Linked DNA regions of Bombyx mori. The protein of the gene in region 1 interacts with the protein of each later gene in a pairwise test. Links are inferred from orthologs where the notes say so. Each region holds a gene or a part of one and is shown on either strand. Other genes may lie near its edges.

Region 1 (3,759 bases):
CCTATCAGCTGGTAAACTACCAACACCCTTCATTTTTCATCCAGTTAATATCATCTGCGAAACTTGTCGATTTTGCGGGCATGACACAAATAACATTCCAATAATTACGAACGGAAACCACCCACTTTACTGACACACACTAAATTGACGTATTTGGTTTTTGTTATTTATAAAGTACGCAATGTATGTATGGTTTTAAACTAAATTTTACGTAAATGAAGGTATTTTTATAAGTTTTTGTTAGATTCGTTGAAACTAAAATTGAGAATTTGACAAAAACTGCTGTCATCGCCCAACTCGACAGATGTGTGACGTTTCGTTCCTTCGTTAGAAGTAATAGTGTTCTGTGTTTCGTTCTCAATAAGTTGGAATCACTGTTGGAACTTTCATAAATTACAATGAAGCAACTTAATCAAAGTCATTAGAATTTAAATTCTGCAAACGCACATAAAAGTTTAAGCTTTGTTAACATTATTATATGTGAACTTAGTTTATATTTAAACTTTAAAAACTAATTAATCACTAGATTATCAAAGCTGAAGCTACATATTTTACGTGACTAATTAGTAGAAAGAAAAAGTGAAAATTTTATGATCCTAGAAATGAAAATTGAGCCTACACTCCTTGTTCGCGAGAAACTTTTTATTACTATTTAAGTTGCAGTAGAGTAGACTGACAAGGACTGCTTTTAAATTTCGTTTGAAGAAACTTTTGAAGTCAGATTGAGTCCTAAGTGTGCTTTTTATGACCTACCTAACGAAATTGTTGACAAAGATGAGGTCCCATGGCAAACTTTGCATAGGTCTGCGCTAAAAAGATATAACAGATTGGAAATCAAGAAGATTTAAGGAAAAAACTTAAGAAAATTTGTGAATGATATGATAATAAATTCCATAAATTGAGCCATATGATATGTAATCTGTTACTCTGTTACGTGAATTTGACGTGGGAACTACAGATTGTAAAGGCTTCTGTTAATTTAATGTGAGAGGCTGTAGTGCGATTAGTGGGAATGATTTATTTCTCATTAAAGTATTGTATCGGGAGTTATGTATCGGACGCTAGGAATATTTTTCAGATTAGTTCGCAGATACTAATTCCGAACAAAAACATTCGGACCGCCGCGCCTGTTTACCCAGCAATTTTACCCACTCGGTGCAATGTAAAATACTTCCAAAGTATCATACGCTATTGAAATTTATCTGTTACGATTTCCGGTGCTTTGCATGCGACAACTCTAAATTAGTGCCAAGCTTATATTTAATGATTGAATGTTTATAAGTGTGCCCAATATATTTTTTTATCTCGTCTATGAGTTTTGGTTGTTTTAGTTATTTGCCTTTGCCTATCTAGGTGAATGAAAAATATCCAAAAGTTTATGATTATTCAAAATGTCGCTTTCTGTTTTGGTATCATGTCGCATTATAAAAAATTAGAAAAATTATTCAGCAATCAATGAATTACGACTTATTAATAGTCTGCTTTTGAAAATTTAAAAGGAAGGATATACCATAAGAAGTTTCAGGTAATCTTAAATTTATAATATTTCAAGTTCATGATCACGGTGCGAGTTAAACAGCTAATAATTCGATTTTGGAACTGTATTTTGAGTTAATCTTATTTTAATTGATGCATAAAATTATTGGGCCATATATGTATACCTTAGGTAATTTAGTTAAGTATCTAAACACTTAAAGTTAAAAGTAGCTTCATAAATGAAGTAAAAAAAGCTCAAGTTCTTAGAATTCCTTTGATATTGGATGCCTCATTATAGTGTAATTACTTTAAAGTTATCACTAACGTGTATTGATTTAATACTTATGTGAAAATTCGTGAACTACTTTGGTGTGAAACTAAACCATTCCATTACACCTGAGTAAATAGCAGTTTTTTAAAAATGTTATTTGAACTTAATTTGTGTGTATTAATGTAGCAAATTCTACTAAATTAAAATAACCTAAACATATTATTTATTATGTTAAATTATTTACATTATATTCTTTTATAAATATTTCTTTTAAAAAGATAGATGCATTGTACAATAAATAAACCAACAATTTAATGCATAAATAATGTATACATACATATATCTATAAATAATGTATAAGGTATATAACAAATAAAACCATGTTAGGAAACAGAATAACATGGTTTTATGTCTATTGTCTTCATTGTAGCCATGAATACGACAGCACCAACATCGGCAGATGCATGCCTCAGCATTGTGCATTCACTGATGTGCCACCGTCAAGGTGGTGAGAGCGAAGGATTTTCTAAACGAGCCATTGAATCTCTGGTCAAGAAGTTGAAAGAAAAACGAGATGAGCTTGACTCTTTGATCACAGCTATAACTACAAATGGTGCACATCCTAGTAAATGTGTTACTATACAGAGGACTTTAGATGGGAGATTACAGGTAGTTTATAAATTTATGTCATCATTTAAAATCAATTTTACAATTTTCATGGTCATTAGCATTCAATTATTATAATCCAATAATTCATTACAATGATATTGATGTTAAATGTTCTACTCGCCAGCAAAATTAGTGAAAATCCAAGAGAATAGTATTATAAATCTGGTAAAACTGAAAGTCTAGAATAATATTAATCATTAAAGTCTAAACATAATGAAACTCATTAAAGTGCTCAAATAAAAAACTCATACAAAACACAAAAATAGGCAGATTTCTTAATTTATGAAATTATCTATGCTTAGTACTTTAAACAAATTAAAAAAAATAGCATCAAATTTATGTTACAAAAAAAAAACCTAATTTTAATTAACTGTTCATATTTAGGTTGCAAAAGGCTCATAAAACTTTTTCTATTTAGGTTGCTGGTCGGAAAGGATTTCCTCATGTAATTTATGCTCGAATATGGAGGTGGCCAGATTTACATAAAAATGAACTGAAACATGTTAAATTTTGTCAATTTGCATTTGATTTAAAGTGTGACTCTGTGTGTGTTAATCCATACCACTATGAAAGAGTTGTTTCTCCTGGTATAGGTAAGTATACTATTACATATTTTAATTACATTGTCATTCTGTTCCTGTTGTGAATGTCTATCTCAATATGAGTATTGGTGCAGTCAACTCTGAAATAATGTCCAAATAAAATATCAATTCAGTGTTATGTAGAATAATAATGGGATTATAAGAAATAAAAATGTTAAAATTAAAATTTATTTTCTACAAGTAGGTACATTGGATAAATTTGAAGGATTTGAAGAGTTTCCAACATAGCCTCTTCTCACTGGGGGTTTCATCCATTTTGTAACATAGTTACACAAACTTATGTACTTGCCACATTTTCATGAACAACTGGGATGAAAGAATAACATTGTACTAAAAATAAAACCTACAACTTACAAGTTTGTATTGTTTATTAAGGCAAAATATGAGCCTGGAAAGGTAGTTGTTACCTATTTCTGCCATGAAGCAGTTTCTTTCACCTCATATCTCAGGTTGGGTAGCGGAATTCACATTGTGATGTGTGGCCTTTGGTATCTACTTAACACAATGTGAGCCATTACCTTGTTCATCAATCAATGCAATAGATGTATAAATTAAATTTCAGTGGTAATGTAAAGTATGAGTTTCTCACCATCATTATCAACCTATAAACATCAACTGGGCATACGCCTGGCCAAGATGAAAGAGTGAATATTAAATTTATTTTTAACCAGGATGTTATTTGTAACAAGTTTATTATTCCTCTTTAAGAAATTATACTTGTATAGATCAGCCTTTATAGTA
Region 2 (3,759 bases), on another chromosome or scaffold:
AAACGGTGTGGATATACAGCGGCTAAACGGTGTCCAGATAATAATAATTGCTTTCGTATTTATATCTAACAAAATTTACGTATTAAGCAGACTTCGGTTCCGGCGATCCAAACAGAGACAAAAATAAAGGTTTGAATACACTATAGGGTGAGTTGAATTCCACTTCTCTGCAAGAGCGTATTCTGCAAGAGCTCCTCAACACATTCGTTGTTTTCGTTTCATAAATTTATAATGACGAGTCACTAGGACGGTTTGCGGTAATCTTTTTGGCATATTTTAATATCTTGTTCGATGTAACGATGAGTTCGTCCTGATCGATGCATCAGTTGCGTTGGATTCAACCTTCTTCCGCCTTTCGAAGTAAGTCGATTAGAAGAGGAATCTAAATTCAATTTGCGAAGAAGTAGATTTAGAAGTAGTAGTAACTGTATTGGCTTGAGTCACGCACTCATCTTTAGCTAGGTGTGAAGACAGAAAATATTGAGATTGTATTTGCCAAACTGATGAACGAACTTACGAAGTGAAATAGATTTTTATACAGAATTTCAATAAATATTCGAAATATTGGTATCGGCATAAGGTTCCGCTAATCGTTCATGCAGCGGCCAATTTCGGCGTGAATGATTCGCCGGCGGGTGCTTTTGTGTCTTGTTCCCGATTCTAATTGAAACTATTTTGGACATAGGACAATGCGGCATTGTCCGCGTGTCCGACGGTGTTTGCTGCCTTTATTAATTCAGGTGGGCGTGGTCGCGTGTGGGCGGGTCGCGAGGCGGGGCGTGTAGTTTGGATCGTCCCAGCGGCGCAGGCCGAGCGCCGGCCGACTCTGAGGCCGCGTCGGTCCTCAGTCGCTCACTTGGTGCGACGTCTGGCACTCATCTTTGCGACGAGATCGCACTAACTTTTCCACATTGTTTACGAGTTGCTTTCGCACTATTTGCGATTCGATAAAACTTCACGAACGAAATATCTTAAGTTGACAGTGGTGTGTGACTTCGCTGTTCGTGGTCAGCCGACTGAAGGCGGTGTAGTCTTCTTTTACCAACTTTGACAAATCTTTCACCGCCCCACGTACACGCCAAGTAAGTTCAAAACATTTTTATTTATTTATGTGGATCAAAGGTGTGTCTGCGTTTTTTATATGATACAAAGATTTTCAGATGTGACAAAAGATTATTATGTAACAAAATTCTTCCAAATAATAAATAAGCACTTAATAGAAATTTCAACGTATGTAATATTTAAAAAAAAATTGTTTGATTATTTTTCTATAACTGTAATATGTTATTGAGTGTTTCAATAAAATTATCATTTTTTTTTTTCATTTTAATCAATTACATAAGTGTGTAAATCAGAGGAAAAAATATATTTTAATGTGATGAAGAAATCATATTAGTTGTTACACAAATAAAAAAAACTAATTTGTTTTCCAAAAAAATTTGTAAATTGGTACTAAACATTAATGATAAATTACATACATCGTTGATTAAAACTAGTTTTGTGTTGAGATAAAATACTGGCTTCGTTTAAAATTCATCACGTCGGAGTTCTGTTGGTTTAAAAGACTTGTACTTTAAATAATAAATTGATTCGAGTCATGATAATGCAAGATTTATACGCATTTTTAATAAGGTTATTAATTTTTTAAATTTCATAGTTTTCGAAATAAGAAGCATTAAAAGAATCATCGAATTTTCATCTTTTAAATATATCGTACCTGCTTATTGATTTATTTTTAAATTAAAAAAATCCTATTGAAATTTTGAAAATTTGTGATATTGTAAAATTGTGTGAGTTACCTCAAGAAATTGTATTTTTAAGGATATTCAAGACGAAGGACACAATTTCATTAAATCATCGAAAAACTATAGTCTAGAGATCGATAATTATTATTATTAAAACGATTTTAAAAATAAGTTTATGCTTCTCATATAGAGAAATAATTTCCCGTCTATTTCATTAAATCATGAAAACTGTACAGTTGCTGTTATTAATGATTGAGTTTGTGGTCATCGATCGATGAGCACGGAAGACTTCATATTTTTTCCAATCAAATACGCATTTAATTCTTGTTCACCAATCACTTCTACGATGACAAAATAACATTGTGTAATAAAAGTTAAAATTTGGGAGCCTGCACGGGTTGCTATCACCACCCTAGCGATTTCTATAGCGAAACAGTAATACGTTTAGACTTTAAGGATGAAATAGTCGCTATACTTCATTAAGATCGTGCCTCAAGGTGGGTGATAACCAATAACCACTTAACACCAGGGGCATTGCAAGTTCACCCATCTATATTTTTTTATTTTATTAAGGCGAACAAAAAACGAATTGATCAAAGCTGAAACTACGGTTTTGAAAAAGCTTATGCTATTTGAAAACAGATCCTAGCAAGCATTACGTTTGTAACTGAACCTTCTATGTGGGGTTTAGTATAAGCAATAATATCACGAGTATTACCTTCAATCACCACGACATATTAAATATAAGCAATAATATTACCTTCACTCGTCGCGAAATCTTACTAAAAGCACGATGTATTGAAAAGTCAATTGGAACTGTCGTCAGCATAAATTAGAGGCAATTCAAACTGAAACAAATCAGTCGTCATTGGTGCCGTAATGTTTTCCTGTCGGCTGATAAAAATGTCCGCCCGCCTAAACCGTGTACCGCTCTAGCGGCGTCGCGACGCTCCCTGGAGTTCGAGCTAGGGTTGCAATTCAGCAAATCATTAAAAAAATCACAACACCAAAAATTTCATTAGAATTAAGACATTTTTTATATTAATATACTTTATGGTGGCAGAGAATCTTTCCCAATCCAAATTATTGAATATGATTCGTGGTTTTAAACGAAAAAGAATTGGTACAGAATAATTTACGCTTGAATCTTCTATCATAAGGAATAATATTAAACATCTCTGTTTGCCTCAATATTCCCGACGTTCAAATCATAACAGCCACTTTTTTTAATCAATATTTATATAGCGGACTTCAAAAGTGCATACATAGACCGTGTATTAAAAATGGTATGAGCCCATTTTTAAAGACATCTAGGATAGTTGCCTAGGCATAAAATATCAATACGTGTTCAAAAGAAACAATAAATCTCTATATAAGTATATAAAAATGAATTGCTGCTCGTTAGTCTCGCTAAAACTCGAGAACGGCTGGACCGATTTGGTTAATTTTGGTCTTGAATTATTTGTGGAAGTCCAGAGAAGGTTTAAATGTAGATAAATATGAAAATTCTCGGAATTAAATAAAAATAACAAATTTAGTTTTTCCTTTGATGTGTGTGTCACTTCGGACGGATTCCTTTTGTTTGTTTTAGGTATATTTTATACAAAAGTTTAAAGTACTTAAATTATTGCCGGGTCAGCTAGTATGTAAGTACTTTTTTTGTCTTAGTTTTTATAATCTTAGTATAGAGATTATTTTAAGAACGTTTTGTGTTCAATACAAAGTGACAGCCCTGCGGAAATCATCGCTGACAAAGTCGGTTCCGTTTTATTGGCCCGCGATCTTTTTATGGCAATCGGCGGATCGTTTTTCCATTTCGATTGGGATACTTCGACTCTGCGGTCTCACTCCACAGATTTTTTTGTTACATTTGTTGAGAAAGTGAATTTTGATGCGTTCGTTCAGTATTGGTTGATTGGTTTTCGAAGCCGTGATTTTTTTAGTTATCTATGGCTACCTACTAAAGTAATATTCTCTAATAGAACTTAAAGGTACCAACCACCTGAAAAGTGTG

What was found.
Region 2: the proteins of mothers against decapentaplegic homolog 4 (region 1) and LIM domain transcription factor LMO4 interact in binary tests that used the Homo sapiens proteins (3 or more experiments, as listed by UniProt). The link is inferred for Bombyx mori from reciprocal best matches to the Homo sapiens genes SMAD4 and LMO4.

What each region holds. Positions count from the first base shown.
Region 1 is NC_085113.1:9,088,050-9,091,808, reverse strand, and holds the start of mothers against decapentaplegic homolog 4, read left to right. Parts: upstream 1-1,367; 5' UTR 1,368-1,525; intron 1,526-2,177; 5' UTR 2,178-2,179; coding exon 2,180-2,416; intron 2,417-2,834; coding exon 2,835-3,009; intron 3,010-3,759. Other genes in the region: trafficking protein particle complex subunit 10, read right to left, coding at 1-33. UniProt on the Homo sapiens protein: In muscle physiology, plays a central role in the balance between atrophy and hypertrophy. When recruited by MSTN, promotes atrophy response via phosphorylated SMAD2/4.
Region 2 is NC_085110.1:5,592,463-5,596,221, reverse strand, and holds the start of LIM domain transcription factor LMO4, read left to right. Parts: upstream 1-846; 5' UTR 847-1,082; intron 1,083-3,759. UniProt on the Homo sapiens protein: Transcription cofactor. Plays a role in establishing motor neuron identity, in concert with MNX1, acting, at least in part, to disrupt LDB1-LHX3 complexes thereby negatively modulating interneuron genes in motor neurons.